2 linked regions of the Arabidopsis thaliana genome follow. The protein of the gene in region 1 interacts with the protein of each later gene in a biochemical or structural test. Each region holds a gene or a part of one and is shown on either strand. Other genes may lie near its edges.

Region 1 (8,741 bases):
GTACAGTTACATGGATCTTTGGCCATGCACTTCTAACGACCTTGATCATTTAGCCAGACAAGAGGTATTTTCCATGCAACATATCGCAATTAGCTCAAATAGCTACTAATGATACATCTAGTAAGTACTAATTCTAACCGATCAATGTGTTCACTATAGTTGCTTGTGAAGAATCTGAATAAGAAAGCAGGGAAAACAAATCTACCTCATGTTCCTGCGGCTATAGGTCTGTTCTTTTTAATTTTCTGGTGTGATGGATTATGTTAAACTTTGGTGATGACTGAAGTAAATAAACCGCCTTCTGGGCTGACAGGTAGTGTAGCTTCTTCGTCAAAAGTTGTTTATCCAGATACATCTCAGATGGTTGTTCAAGACCCGACAAAGAAATCAGGTATCTGATTTGCACTTTGCCGCAATATTTGGCTGCACGATGAATGGAATTGTTAACTTATTCTGAACCACTCATGATTTGACTGTAGAGTTTGCTAGTTCTGCAAACCCAGTGGCAGCTTCTGCTTCGAACACCTTCCCAAGTACTGTGACTGCAACTGCAACTCATGGATCAGCCAGCACATTTGACGAAATACCAAAGACTACTCCACCTGCATTGGTAGCATTTTTAGCTAACTTGCCTATTGTGGACGGTAAATCTCTTAAAAACCAACTCCAAGTTGTATCTGAACTGAGCACCTGAATAAGTGTCCACTAACCAACTAGTTTATCATTATCTTCTCAATTCGCAGGTCCAACACCCAATGTGGATGTTGTTCTGTCGATATGTTTGCAGAGCGACTTTCCAACAGGTCAAACTGTAAAGCAGAGTTTTGCTGCTAAAGGCAATCCTCCAAGTCAAAACGATCCCTCGGGTCCAACCCGCGGTGTGTCTCAAAGATTACCAAGAGACAGAAGAGCTACAAAGAGAAAAGATTCAGACAGTAAGTTACATATGCTTATAGTTTATGTTCAAGTATATATATTTTATGGCTCATGACTATGTCATCACTCAAATGTTTGGCACTTCTTAGCTGCAGATGCATATAACTTCTACTATCCCTTAGAACAACCGTTAAATGATAGTTACTTATCTTATTCTATCTCTCTGTTAACAGGGCAAGAAGAAGATGATACAGCAACTGTACAAAGCCAGCCTTTGCCCACAGATGTTTTCAGACTAAGGCAGATGCGGAAAGCTCGAGGGATCGCAACATCATCACAGACACCAACCGGTTCCACATCGTATGGTAGTGCCTTCTCTGGCGAGCTTTCTGGTAGCACTGGCTAAAATATACTGAGATTGGCAAATTTGTGAAGCCTCTCTTAATACTTGTAATTTATTTCCCCCAACAATTCCAACTTATGCAATAAAATTAAGTCTCTTTGGATATATATGTTTCTCAAATCTTCACGGTATTCAATGGTAGTTACAATTATATTAGTGGTTTCAAAGAACAGTACACTATATAAACCTGCAACTTATGAAACTAGTGAACTGAACCCGAAGTGCTTCTTACAAAACTTTCCAAATCAGTCAAATCTTTCACCACATCTCTCATCGATGGTCTGTTCTCCGGCCTCTTGTCTGTACATCTAAGAGCCAAGTCTGTGACTTGGATTGCTTGTTCCCTGAGCTTCGTATCCAGAAGCTCATCCACAAGTTTTGGATCAACGATTGGACCAGCAGTATCGTCTTCATCCTCGTAGCTGCTTAATACAGATCTGACCCAGCTCACAATGTTGATATCTTCCGGGAAAGATCTGTCCAGTGCTCTCTTTCCTGTTACCAGCTCGAGCAAAACAACTCCATAACTGTAAACATCTGATTCCTTGCTCCTCACCGTCTTGTACGCATTTTCTGTTTGATAGAAATATGGTCATCAGAGCATGAATAAGGTAACGGTGAACAAAATACGAACGTGTTATGTTGAGAAGTATATATACCTGGTGCAATGTACCCAGTTGTGCCAGTAACAGTGGCCGTTGAAACTGTTGAGTCATCTAGAATCCGAGCCAATCCGAAATCTCCAATGTGAGGCTCCATATCCGAGTCCATGAGTATGTTCTCTGGTTTGATGTCGCGGTGAATTATTGGTGGATGACAATCATGATGTAAATACGCCAGTCCATGTGAAATCCCAAGGGCTATGTTGAACCGTGCAGACCAGTCAAGAACTGCTTCTCCTTGATTACCTCTGTGCAAAACGTCGTGTAGGCTTCCATTGGGCATGTACTGATACAGCATTAAGCCATCTTCTTTCCTCATCCAAAATCTTTCTAACCGAATGAGATTTCTGTGCCTGACTAGCCCGATTGTTTCGATCTCCCGCTTCATATTTTGGTTTGCGCGAATGTGTTCCGCAAAGATGAGTTTCTTCACGGCGTATTCTTCGCCTGATCCTAAAGAAGCTCTGTAAACAACTCCATGAGCTCCTCTTCCAATGATGTACTTGTCATCTAGATTGTCAGTGGCTGCTAGAACTTTGTTCAGCAACAAGGACAGACCTTCCTCTGCGAGGATATTAGCATCTTCTGTCTTGGTTCCTCTTTTGCACCGGCATAAAACCAAAAAGAGAGCAAAAAGCAAAGCCAATACGGATAGTGAGGACCCAGCTGCTATAAGGGCGATCTTCCACGTGCTAAGTTTGACTTGACCTTTGCAAGATTTAAACTCTTTGCGGATTATGGCACTCACTGAGTAAGAAGCTTGAATGCAGAGGTCTGGATTTCCAGAAAACTTTGAAGAATTTGATAACAGATTTACGGGTATTGGACCCGTGAACTGATTATACGAGACGTCAACTTGATTCAATGACTTAAGACTTTGAAGAACCGATAAAGGCCCTGTCAACTTGTTGTTGGATATGTTGAGACGTTCAAGATTGATAAGAGCCCCCAGTGTGGTTGGAATCTCACCCGTAAATACGTTCGCACTGAGGTCTAAGCCATAGCGTAGACTCTTCAACAAGCCAACCGAGGAAGGAATCTTACCTCCAAAAGCATTTCGAGCTATCCGCAGATCTGAGAGTCGGTCAAGCTCTGCCAAGAACTGTGGAATAGCTCCTAGAAAATTATTGTCACTGAGAACTAAAGTGGACAAGCTTTTCCAGCTTCTGAAGCTTGATGGAATAGAACCGTTCAATGAGTTGGATCCAACATCAAAATACAGAAGTCTCGCACAGCCTGATAGCTGGGATGGCAGAGGACCTTCCAGATAATTATGTGAAAGGTTCAACAGTCCAAGGCTTTGCAGATTTCCCAGTTCTGGAGGTATCAGACCCGTGAGTTTGTTTTGAGAAAGGTCAATAGTCAAGAGATTTTTACAGCTTCCCAAGCTGCGCGGGATGGATCCTTCAAAGCTATTGCTTCCGAGGTTCACATAGGAAAGACTAAGACTCTCAGGGAATTCCGGAAGAACACCTGAAAGTTTGTTATCTTCAAGTCTGACTCGCTCAAGGGTCTTACACTGACGAATAGACGCTGGTATCTTACCATGAAGCTGATTAGAACCCAAGATGAACAATCTCAACTTCTGTCCATGGCAGAGATGGGGTGGTATCTCCCCTGTAAAACGGTTACCAAGAAGGTCCACCTCCTCTAAGCTTCGATTCAGGCCTAAACTCATTGGTATATCTCCATAAAAGCCGTTGTTAAACAGTGTAAGCTTCTTAAGGTGCTTCAGCTGAGTTACTTCAACTGGTAGTTCCCCGGTGAGAGTGTTGTTATAAACGAGCATCTGTGTCAGACTCTGAATCTTCCATATGCCAATAGGAATCTCACCGGACAGCTTATTAAAAAAAAGCTCCAGGCTTTGTAGCTTCTTTAGCTTACTCAATGCAGGTGGTATCTCGCCTTGGAGCTGGTTGTCGTTCAGCTTCAAGGTTTCCAAGCTGCTGCAGTTCCCAAGCTCTTGAGGGATATTCCCCGAGAGACGATTATCGGAAAGGTCAATAACCGAAACCTTTCTCAACATACCCATTGATGATGGGATTGTACCTGTCAAGTTGCATTTCACCATGACTAAAGAGTGAAGGCTACTGCAGTTGCCTATCTCAGGTGGAACACCGCCTTGGAAATCATTGAACGAGAGATCTAAAGAAACCAATTTCTTGCAGTTGCTAGAACCAAAATGAAGCCTCCCTCCAAGGCTGTTGTTACTGACAAATAGCTCACCAAGATTCTCGAGTAGATAGAGACTTGCTGGCAAAGAACCATTTAACTTGTTGTTGTTCAAAGCCAGATATTCCAGCTTACTACAGTTCCCAAGCAACTCTGGAATGGTACCAGACAAGTTATTATATGACATCCTCAGATCTACGAGCTCTATCAACCCACCAACACTTGCAGGAATGAGACCACTAAGATTATTGCGATCAAGATACAGAAACGTCAAATTCTGCAAGCTACCAAAAATATCAGGAACTTCTCCAGAAAAATCATTGTTAGACAAATCCAAATACTCAAGTGAAGTACAGTTTCCTAAAGTGGAAGGCAATAAACCAGAGAAACTGTTAAGACTGAGATCCAATGTGACCAAGCTCTTAAGCTCCCCAATTTCAGAACCTAATTGGCCTGAAAGCCCAGAAGCAGACAAATTAAGGGTCTCGACGACATTACCAGAAAGATCACAAATGACACCAAACCAGTTATTATTACATGGAGTGGTTTCAGATGTGTTCTCCTTCCACGTCGAAGCTACTTCAAGTGGGACTTTATCAAAGTGCTTGAGAAGCGAGAGTAAAGCCAAACCATCTGAGTTTAAACTAGAGACAGAATCTATACGGAAATAGACAAAGAGAGAGCAAAGCAGAGTAATTTCGAGTAACCCAAGATTCCTCATTTGAGATTAGAGCTCAAGAGACTGAAATATGAAACACTCGTACGTAGTAACCTCACTCAACAACCCTTGAACCCAGAATGAGAGGCGGAAAAAAAAAAGAGAGAGCTTTTGGATTTGAAAGGGTATCTGGATTTAGTGACAGGAACAGATTGCATTATTTAAGAAACGATCGATGAGTTTGGTGAGAGAGAAAAAGAGCGCGCTTTTTGGTTAACTCTTCGTCAGAGATTGTGAACCTAACTTTACGAATTGGCGACCTTCAACGCTGTTTCGTGTTTCTTTCTCGCTATTTCCATTACTACTCGGAGACTGTTTCGTGGTTTTAAATATTCCATTTTCCACGTTTTGTTTTCTTAGCTTATTCAAGAGAAAGCTTCTTTGGACGCTAATTTTCTATTGACATTTCATCCTACTGTTACTTTGTTAGATTTAAATCTTTCATAAACATTATATATTGGAATTTAATCAAGATCTCTGGTATCTGTCGTCTACACTAGAATTTTAACTAGTACTTTATTAACAAAACCATATTCACATAAAACAAAAATGGTTTATTAAAAACATAATGTCAAAACTGATTGAGAGATTAATTTTGATCTTCCCTGTTAACAATATTAAGATAGTGGAGCACTCATCAGTCTATTTAAAAGTCTTAAACCACTTGTATATCTCTCTTTTATGGAATTATTATGTTTATTTCTCTCATTATTACAAAATGTCATCATTTTGGGAGGATGCTATTACTCTTACTAAAATAAGATAACACGCATTCTCAACTTAATTAGACTCAATGATCATCTTTAAATTGATATTCTATATTCATTCCACCAACATAACTCAATCATTCGACGTGCACCATTACATATTATAATCTATCTAATTCCTTAACTGAATTCAATTTGGTTTGGTCGTCTCATGGTATTGAGAAGTCAAAAAAGTCCCAACGAAGAATCATACTTTCTTTAATGTATACAATATTCGTTTGTAACATTTTAACACGTTTATTTTGGAAATATCATACTGTCCATTTCGATTTTAAGTTGGTTGGTCGTCACTTTTGCAGGTCCCAAACGAATTTAATAACAACTTCTATATATGTCTCCATCACCAAACCCTATAATTATACTGTAGTTCATAAATTTTCATAGTTGACAAAGAAAATGTGATTTTCACCATAAGGATTTAGAGAGTGGTGGTCCTTGTTCTGTCTTCTATCACTTTTCTTTAAGTTTTATATATGTTCCACTTCTTTGGTATATTTCCTTTACATGATGTTGAAATTTGAATTTAACTTCAAAGGGTTTTCACATTAGATTCCAATGAGGTTTGCAGATTGCATTTTGTCACAAGATCACAAGGCCACCTACATCCTAAGACTAAAACCCCCAAAGACCCAAATGCGAATCCATTGAGTAGTGATGGAGGAATTTTGTTTTCAAGTCCAACGGTTCATCGTAAAATATAAGCAAAAGCATTTTACAAGAGAAACATGACATTAACCAAAGGCATTACATACCATAAGAAAGCAAAACAAGAACAATGTAATAATACCAAGATACACACACTCGCTCGCAACACCACAGATTCTCTACAGCTTAACAACCACTGGATAAAACACCTTAATCCGGGTCACAGTTTTATTCTCCATACACCACAATGCAACTCCATCTCAAACTTTATAGTTTAAGAAACACAAACTCTTCAATCGCAGAAACACCCCCAATCCTCTCAAGTGTTTTGTTGTCTGGTTCTTCATCAACTCCAATCGCCATTATCGCTTGTTTCCTCAACACTGTTCTTCCAACACTCATGAAATTCACATTCACGTTTTGTTCTCCAAGTATGTTACCAACCTGTCCAATCATCCCTGGTTGATCCACTTGCCTGCACAGTATCAGATTCCCTTCAAGGCTCACATCCACACCAAATGATCCGACACAAGTTAAATGCGGAACTCCGTACTTCACCTTCCCTTCAATACTTATATCACCAGCATCAGAGACAGCACCAGCGAAATTTGACTCCACATTCAAAATCTGAACTTGGATGGAATCAACAGGGTACTCTGGTGATGAATCAACAACCATTCGTTCCTCACTAATACGAAGACCCTTTTGTTTAGCTATGAAATCAGCATTCACCAAGTTGACATATGAATCTGAGATCGGTTCAATGATTCCCTTTGTGATCATTGCACGAAGTAGTCTAGTATCCAAATCATCTCGGTCACGAGCTGACCGATAGACCACCCTAATGGACTGTACTCCTTTACCTCCAGATGCTAACTGCACAGCTAACCTCCCAAGCTTCTCAGCTAAGACAATATAAGGAGTCAACTCAGACAAGACCTCAGGAGCCACCATTGGAGCATTGACGGCAGTAGCTGATAACTCTCCTTTCAATGCCCCTGCTACAGCCTCTGCTATCTCAATGGCTACACCTTCCTAAAATATCACATTGGAATTATATAAACTCGAAAAGAAGTGTAGAGAGATGAAACAAGTAACATAAACAAGATCAAGAGAGTGATGATACCTGAGCTTCTTTTGTGCTAGCTCCAAGATGAGGTGTCACAGTAACATTTTCATGCTGAATTAGTCTGCTATCTTTCGATGGTGGTTCCTCACAGAACACATCTAATGCTGCCTGAGCAACGATTCCGGCATCGAGAGCTCTAACGAGTGCATCCTCGTCGATGACGCCACCTCTAGCGACATTAATGAGACGCACACCTTTCTTCATCTTAGAGAAAGTTTCGTCGTTGAAGACCTTTTTGGTGGCCGGAGTTAAAGGCATGTGCAGGGAGACGAAATCGGCGGTGGAGATAGCTTGATCGAATGAAACAAGATCGACACCGAGAGCTCTGGCTCTGTCAGCTGGCGCGTAAGGGTCGTGGGAGATAACGGTCATGCCTAGACCTTTGGCTCTTCTCGCCACCTCCGTCCCAACTTTCCCGAAACCCATCACGGCCAAGGTTTTTCCGACGAGAGATACACCGACGTACTTGCTCCTCTCCCATTTTCCTGTAAAAATATCCAAATGTCCAAATTTCAGAAACCGCCTCGGTATTACTTGATGGAGGAGTCATCTCAGTTCAACTCAAATTGATTTTATTTTTTAGAATTTTTTTTTTTACTAGATTACAGAAGAAGAAGAATAACTCAAATTTTACAAAAGTGATTTTTAAGTGAAAGTGATTAAGACTTAGAAGAGATAATGGTATTGTAATGTCTACACTTTCTCAGTTTCTGTCTCGATCGTATATTGATGCTTTGACTGACGACAATTCCACCTTAACAGTAGTACCAGAAACAAATAATTGAGTCTTATCAATTATGATGCATGATTATTTTTTAATGACCCACTTGTATATTGTGTACTAAAATATCTACAAATTTGTATATTGTAAAAAGAATCCCATATTCTTCTGCTAATCAAGTTGCACTATATACGCCGAATCAATAATTAAGGTAATTTAAAAATTGTAATAAACTATTAACGAATATAAAGTTTTTAAAAAGAAAAAAAGACAACAAAGACTCGAGAAAATGATATTTGCCATGACAAAATTCCAAAATGGAAAAAAAAAAAAAAAACAAATTCCAAAATGGGTGGAACTGATGGGTTGTGACGCGTGAGATTGAAACTTTAAAGAGAGAATATATCAGGTAATCGAATTATTTCTTCAGTTACCGATGCATGGGTTTGTAATAAATTCCAAATAAGATGATTCAATCCCTTTTTTTGTCCTTTTTTGGAAAGTACAAATTGAAATTTTGTCTAATTAGTTACAATTTTGATTTTAATTTTGGATTTTGTTTTTTGTTGTTCAAAATCATTAAAGGTAATATGGTCTTAACAATCTCCTAAACTTTATATGATTCGATTCAATCTAAACCTACAATCA
Region 2 (8,113 bases), on another chromosome or scaffold:
ATTGTTTTATCAAATCTCAATAGTTACACTATGGTACGTAGGGGAAAATGTAGGATCAATTAGCTATACCTAACCACGATTCTACATCATCAATTCCAATCATCAATTCCAATCATCAAAGAAAGTGTTAAAATTTCGATTTTTTTTTGAAATTTCTAATGTGACTATTGAAAAGAGAAAAGAGGTGAATAAAATAGGGACACATGAGCAGTGATGGTGTATACGAGGTGCTGGTGTGTATCCCATAAAAACTATTTCCCATAATTCGCATTTGAAGGTTCCAATGAGAATATTTAGAATTTCGTTTTATATTTTACTCTTCACCATACAAAGTATCATTCCCAAAAAAAAACGATAAAAAGATAAAATATCGGATAATAGCTGTTCGTTTGTCCTCGTCAGCATAGTTCCACTAAACCAGTTATCGAAAACTAAATTTAGATTTTAGATACATTTTATAATTATCCAAAAACAAAGAGAAAAAAAATGAGAAGTAAACAAAACAAAACCTGGGAAGGATAAGGAGGATGGGCCCGTCTCAATCGCGGAGCGAATTGCGCGGCTCTCTTGTCAATGTATATATTGATGTGAACACTTTTTAAATATTTTTACAAAACACTTATAAAAAAAACGAAAATGTTGTTTTGTAAAAATATTACAAAACAAAATCCAAATAAAATTTAATTATATACTAGTCAGCAAGCAGAATCGTACAGCTGAGATTGAAAGCTCTCTGCTAAAATGGGCCACTAAAAGTTTATTTTTTGGCTATTGGTGGGTCTCACTTGTTACACTGACGTTACGGTGACACTGAAGGACAACCACTGACGCCAGACAGGCAACACCTGGCATATATGTGGATTTATACGCTGACCTGGCAGTGTTGACTCCTTGTTTTAAATGACACGTCATCTGAGTGTGAAAGAGACAGACGTCGCGTGAATTTTGCGGGACTTTTTTTAACTCCCTAGACCGCGTGTGAAGTGTACGCTCCGGTGAATGGTGAGGCCCATCGTTAGTTTTGGTCGTGTTGCATTTAATTCGTTTCATAATGTTCTTTTGTAGACTTTAGTGGTGAATTTAATTATTTTGTAAGGTGCGATGACTTTCTTGACAGTGGAAATTTTTTCACGTTTTCACAAACATGCATGATTGTTTATTTTCAGTTCGATGATTAGTGACCTGTATTTTAAGTGACAGTGAACAGGAATCTCGTTTTTCACCACAGTTAATTGGGATGCGATTCTTGTTATCTAAGTTAGAATCGTGGATGCGATGATGAAGTTTGTATTTTCTATTGATATTGTTTTACCCAAACCCAAGAGTCGAGAATGAATTTTTATGTCGTTGCTATTTATTCTGAACTTATGTCGTAAATGTTGGGATCAATAATTTAAGGTGACCGAGTCGTGACCCACATGAGTGTCGAGTGATTATTACAGCTTCGGTGAAAACGAGTGAAAAGTGAAAACGCAAACATTATTTTTAGGATCTTCTCTTTTGCTCACGAAGAATTGTAGTACTATTAGATAATCTCATAATCCTGAATGAGTGTTTTTAGTGGGATCACAATCCGAAATGACTATTTAAGCGTTAAGATTCAAAACAACTTCACATATATATAACCTTCAATGACTTCAATTTAATATATAGTTTGAAATTTAGTGTGAAAATCAAAATAATCGAACCTCGTTAATATTTTTAGTTTCATTCATGTTAAGTAATTCAAGCCAATTTTCCTTTTATAGTTTCTCTGCATGCAAATTTATATTTAAAGTGCGTGCATGTTGCATCACTTCAGTAATATGGTAGAATGCAAATTCGTTAACCGTCTCTATAGTTCATGACTTCATGATAGCATAAGAGATAAAATGAATTCAGGGATTTATGTGTAATCATTAAGGAATGAGAAAGTCACATAAAGCATGTAAAATAATTTTTGGGTCGTTATTTTTTTTTACTACGATGAATCTCTGCTCTCTTTTATATATTTTAGTCATGACTGAATAATGACAGGCAATTTTAATAATTTAAGATAAGTATGCGGTATGCCATGATCGGTAGACGGTAGCTCAATACAATTCCGACACAGAAACTAGTTTTTTTTTGGGTATTTGATAATGGGCCTTTTAGCAATTTTCTAAAGCCCAAATTTATTATTCTTGCTTCACGCAATATTGTTTAAAGCCCAATTTAGAGAACATGATTTCCATTCCGAATTCGTCGCCCAGTCACTTATTAGATTAATAGATTGCATTGCATTGCTTGTGCTTTCAATTTACAAATTGTCTCCCAACTCCATCGACACATCTCTTTTTGTGTATATAAGATTCAGACTTGTTATATTTTTTTTATAAATATGTTATTAGCATCTTAAGTTAAATTGATTTTTTATATCTGCATTAAGGATTACACGACTATATTTGCGATTGTGTGTTGGTTAAAATATAATTTAGGATTGTCTTTAACTACATTTAGGATTATATGACTATATTTGGTTAAATATAAAATCTAGCTGTGATTATTAGTATTCAAAAATAAGTAGCCTAACCAATTAAAACAACGGCTATTGGGGCAAATTAGAACATTTTAGTGTGTCCAAAATATAATGGTCATTAGGTCATATTCCTCCTAGCTTCATCGCAGCATAATTGAATGATTGCCTTATTTAGAAGAGCTTTTCCACTTTCCCAAAATCTATGTGGGATCTTTTTGTTTTGACCTTCATTTTTCTTGTTTACCATTTTTAGCTAAATTATTTACGATTACAAAAGATATCAAAAGTTGGATCATAATACAATTTATAGACTTACTGTAGAAAATTCGTATGTACAAGTACAACAAATTCTTCATAATAAATTTTGAAAATTCTATTACAAATGTTGTAAGAAATAGAATTTGAAATATATATAAACTAAGGAGAAAAAAAAAGAGAACATGCATTGCTCTAGTCAGAGTGGACCAACATCAACGAGATAAGATAACATAAAAACCAACTCACCATAACTAAAAACATCCCAAGAGATCCAACGATTCATATCAAACACAAAAACATCGAACGATCAGATTTAAACCATCTCTGGTATCTCCAAAACACAAACACTTTTTTTTTTCTTTTGTCTGAATGGAACAAAAGCATGCGACATCTCTGTGTCTTTATCTTCTCTCTCCTCTTCTTGAAAAACTGAACCTTTAATTCTTTCTTCACATCTCCTTTAGCTTTCTGAAGCTGCTATCTTCAAGCTCAAAACCAAACCCTAGAAATAAAATGACGGCGACACAAATGCTGCTTCATCTTCTTCTTCTTCCACTTCTCTTCCTTCACTTCAGCAACCAAGTCATGGCAGAAATCACCGACGAGTTAGCGACATTGATGGAGGTTAAAACAGAGCTTGACCCAGAAGACAAACACTTAGCTTCATGGAGTGTTAATGGAGATCTGTGTAAAGACTTTGAAGGTGTTGGTTGTGACTGGAAAGGACGAGTTTCTAACATATCTCTACAAGGGAAAGGCTTATCTGGTAAAATCTCTCCGAACATTGGAAAGCTTAAACATTTGACGGGTTTGTTCTTGCACTACAATGCTCTTGTTGGAGATATTCCTAGAGAACTTGGTAACTTGTCGGAACTTACGGATCTTTATCTCAATGTTAATAATCTCTCCGGTGAGATTCCTTCAAACATTGGGAAGATGCAAGGCTTGCAAGGTTAGTTCTTTTTTACTTTAATTTTAATCTTAATCATTGATTAAACTTAAAACCTAAATTTAGCATTGTTAGATCTTTGGTTTCTGCAAAATTCTTGTCCCAAGATTAATCAATGTTCTGTGGAGATTTGAAACCTAGAAATCTGAGCTCCTTGTCTTAGGGGTTTTAGTTACTTCATTACTATCTCTGGTAGTTGAAATTATTTGAATTAGATGATTTTGGAATTTAATGCTTTAATGATCTGTCTTTAAAACGTCCTTTTCATGTCTTTTTGTTAGGATTTTTCTTTTTGTAATTTTCCTGTAAGGAAGAATAGTCAAGAACTTTTTAAGATTCAAACTTTTAATTGGAACCATAAATGGCTTACTGGTCCCAAAATATGGACTTGAATTGAAGATAACTTGTACTTCTCTTGATTAATTTTGTTTATTTAGATAATTGATTCACTTACTTTCAAAAGGCTTTATATTTGAGCTTTAATTAGCAGGACCAGGTTTCTAAATCTAGAATTAGTTCTAAGTTAATGTAAGTCAAAGCTAAGCTTCATTCCTTTTTTGGTCTATGTTGTTGTGTAGTTTTGCAGCTCTGTTACAACAATTTGACTGGAAGCATTCCTAGGGAGCTTAGTTCACTGAGGAAGCTGAGTGTTCTTGCTCTTCAATCTAACAAACTCACTGGAGCTATACCTGCGAGTTTAGGAGATTTAAGTGCTCTAGAGCGGCTAGATTTGAGCTACAATCATTTGTTTGGTTCTGTACCAGGCAAGTTAGCTAGCCCTCCTCTGCTTCGAGTTCTCGACATCCGCAACAACTCCCTCACTGGCAATGTACCTCCTGGTTAGAAAACTGATTCACTATATGATCTTTGAAACTAACTTTGCGTATTTTGTGAAGTGTTTCTCATTTTGGTTTATATTTCTTTCTCTGTTGTACCGATTTGACAGTACTGAAGAGATTAAATGAAGGTTTTTCGTTTGAAAACAACTTGGGACTATGTGGAGCTGAGTTCTCGCCGTTGAAATCTTGCAATGGCACAGCTCCTGAGGAACCTAAGCCATACGGTGCAACCGTGTTTGGTTTTCCATCCCGGGATATACCAGAATCAGCTAATCTACGGTCACCTTGTAATGGAACAAACTGTAATACTCCTCCAAAATCTCACCAAGGTGCAATCCTTATTGGTTTGGTTGTCTCGACTATTGCATTGTCTGCTATTAGCATCCTCTTGTTCACGCATTATCGCAGACGCAAACAGAAGCTTTCAACCACTTATGAAATGTCGGACAACCGTCTCAACACCGTAGGAGGAGGTTTTAGGAAGAACAATGGTTCTCCATTGGCCAGTCTTGAATATACTAATGGTTGGGATCCACTTTCAGACAATAGGAATCTCAGTGTCTTTGCTCAAGAAGTTATCCAGAGCTTTCGATTCAATCTTGAAGAGGTTGAAACTGCTACACAGTATTTCTCAGAAGTGAATTTGCTTGGAAGAAGCAACTTCTCTGCGACTTACAAAGGAATCTTGAGAGATGGTTCTGCTGTAGCGATCAAACGGTTTAGTAAAACAAGTTGCAAATCTGAAGAACCTGAGTTCTTGAAAGGACTCAACATGTTGGCGTCTCTGAAACATGAAAACTTGTCAAAACTTAGAGGCTTCTGCTGTTCAAGAGGCCGTGGAGAATGTTTTCTCATCTATGATTTTGCTCCTAATGGAAATTTACTGAGCTATCTTGATCTCAAAGATGGTGATGCGCATGTTCTTGATTGGTCCACGAGAGTATCCATTGCTAAAGGCATCGCAAAAGGTATGAGTTTTATTTATGCCGAACCAATTTTGTTAGCGTTCTTGATTCATTTTTGTTTATGTGTTTGATGTTTTGTGTTTAGGGATTGCTTATCTACATTCATACAAAGGAAGCAAGCCAGCATTGGTTCACCAAAACATCTCAGCGGAGAAAGTTCTAATCGACCAGCGATACAGTCCTCTACTCTCAAACTCAGGCCTCCACACACTTCTCACAAACGACATTGTCTTCTCTGCACTCAAAGACAGTGCAGCAATGGGCTACCTCGCTCCAGAATACACCACAACCGGACGTTTCACCGAGAAAACCGATGTCTACGCTTTCGGGATTCTTGTGTTTCAGATAATCTCCGGGAAACAGAAGGTTAGGCATCTTGTTAAGCTTGGAACTGAAGCTTGTAGGTTCAATGATTACATAGATCCAAATCTTCAAGGAAGATTCTTTGAATATGAAGCCACAAAGCTAGCTAGAATCGCGTGGCTATGCACTCATGAATCTCCCATTGAAAGACCATCCGTGGAAGCTGTAGTTCATGAGCTAGGTAACTGTAGTAGCTGTCTCTGAGAACTCTCTCGAGGCAAATGTGTAATGTGTACCTTAGGAATCAATTAAGGAAGGGTTTGTTAGTCACCTTTTCCTGTGTTTAGGGTTAAGAAAAAGGTGCCTTTTCCCTTCCCATTAACGTTTAAAAACTGTTCAACGTGTTGTACTTTATTGGTTTGTATGATTTGTGTTTATGTTAAGCTCTTCAACCTTAGAAGAAGACAAGACAAGTACATTACTTTTAAAAAATTTCGGTAGATGGAAAATATTTATGGTACTTTGTCTTCTTTTTTTTTTATAACTTTCTGAACCAATTTATTGTCAATAATTCAATATAGAAAAAAAATAACGTATAACATTTTTTTTTCTGATATTGATCAAATCAATATCAAAAGAATTGATTTGTTAGATGGTTTTGATTTAGATTTGGATATGAGCTTTAACTTTTAAGTCTTTATTAGTCATCTAGATCTAGATACAAATTTATAAATATAAAGTCAAAGGTTAACTATTAGCATTGGCCACCAGATTCGAATAATTTACATGATTTTTCTAGACTTCAGGATTAGATTTTGGACCTAGTAAATTTTTAGAATTACTTGAGTTATTTGAAAGAAATAAATTAAATTATTAGTTGTCCACAAAAGACAGAAAAAAATATCAAATTATACTTTTCATTGGTCAAAAAAGGATTATACCAAATATCTAAGGAAGGAAGATATTGTTGATATAGCTAATTAATCAGTAACTAATCCTAACCGTCCATTTCTCCTCAAACCGCTTGATCTAACGGTAGCAAAAGGCTTCGATCACATAACACCATTTGTTTCCATAGAAACGAACGAGTCGTGGAGATTTATAAGCGAGACTTCTTCTTCTTCTTCTTCTTCTTCGAAAGCTTGAGAGTGCTGCGTAAAAATGGGTAATACGTATTGTATCTTAGGAGGTTGTATTGAACAAGCTAGCGTTGGTGTGGTCGAACGTTGGGGTCGATTCGAGCATATAGCTGAACCGGGATGTCATTTCTTCAACCCTCTCGCCGGTCAATGGCTCGCCGGAGTTCTCTCCACTAGGATCAAATCTCTTGATGTCAAAATTGAAACCAAAACTAAGGTTCGTGATCACTTATTCCTTTTGATCCTTTGCGAATTTTGGTTAATACTGTATGTGGTGAGATTCATGTAAATTAGGCTTATTGTCGTTGTTGTTTGTAGGATAATGTGTTTGTGCAGCTGGTTTGTTCGATTCAGTATCGTGTAGTGAAAGCTAGTGCTGATGATGCGTTTTATGAGCTTCAAAACCCTAAAGAGCAGATCCAAGCTTATGTCTTTGATGGTAATTTTTTTGCTTCTCTGTTGATGTTTTTTGTTTCTTTGTTTGAAGAAGCTCTGTTTTGATTCTTGATTTGTTCTTGTATGTTTGTTTTTTGAATCATAGTGGTTAGGGCTTTGGTCCCAATGATGACGCTTGATGCTCTTTTTGAACAAAAGGGTGAAGTTGCCAAGTCTGTTCTTGAGGAGCTTGAGAAGGTATAACATCTTGTTCCTTCACTATCTCATTCATTTGTATGTTTAGAGACTATTTATTCATAATAGGATATAAGATATCTGTTTTGAGATTCTTGATGTTTTGTAGTGATCCTGCATTTGTTGAGCTAACTAATAGGTGGATTATCAAGTAGGCATGTTTGGATTTCATAAAGAAAAGTTACAACGTTAAGTATATGTTTGGTTTTGTTCAAGACTATGTTTTCATTTGTGAGATTCTTGATGTTCTATCGTGATCCTGCATTTGAGATAACTAATGGGTGAATACTGAGTCTTGTGAAGTGTTATCATAGATATGTGTGGATTGCATAGAGAAAAGTAATAACATATATTCGAGGGTAGCCTGCTTTCGAGACTGGTGAAGACTTTTGTAATGGTCATGACTCATGATTGGAGTTGTTTGTTTCTTCAGGTGATGGGTGCTTATGGATACAGCATTGAGCACATTCTAATGGTTGACATTATTCCTGATCCCTCTGTACGCAAGGCAATGAACGAAATCAATGCAGGTA

What was found.
Region 2: the proteins of PEPR2 (region 1) and AT5G51560 form a complex in vitro, tested with the Arabidopsis thaliana proteins (one large-scale study listed by BioGRID).

Annotation. Positions count from the first base shown.
Region 1 is NC_003070.9:6,102,749-6,111,489, reverse strand, and holds PEPR2 (PEP1 receptor 2), read right to left. Parts: upstream 5,168-8,741; 5' UTR 4,835-5,167; coding exon 1,939-4,834; intron 1,853-1,938; coding exon 1,482-1,852; 3' UTR 1,370-1,481; downstream 1-1,369. Other genes in the region: CSTF77 (Tetratricopeptide repeat (TPR)-like superfamily protein), read left to right, coding at 1-64, 160-226, 314-391, 480-644, 744-935, 1,110-1,282; PGDH (D-3-phosphoglycerate dehydrogenase), read right to left, coding at 6,511-7,278, 7,370-7,846, 8,072-8,159. UniProt on the Arabidopsis thaliana protein: Acts as a receptor for PEP defense peptides. Unlike typical immune receptors, senses an endogenous elicitor that potentiates PAMP-inducible plant responses.
Region 2 is NC_003076.8:20,942,539-20,950,651, forward strand, and holds AT5G51560 (Leucine-rich repeat protein kinase family protein), read left to right. Parts: upstream 1-3,137; 5' UTR 3,138-3,268; coding exon 3,269-3,707; intron 3,708-4,282; coding exon 4,283-4,543; intron 4,544-4,650; coding exon 4,651-5,511; intron 5,512-5,593; coding exon 5,594-6,075; 3' UTR 6,076-6,401; downstream 6,402-8,113. Other genes in the region: AT5G51570 (SPFH/Band 7/PHB domain-containing membrane-associated protein family), read left to right, coding at 6,973-7,167, 7,269-7,389, 7,492-7,583, 8,014-8,110.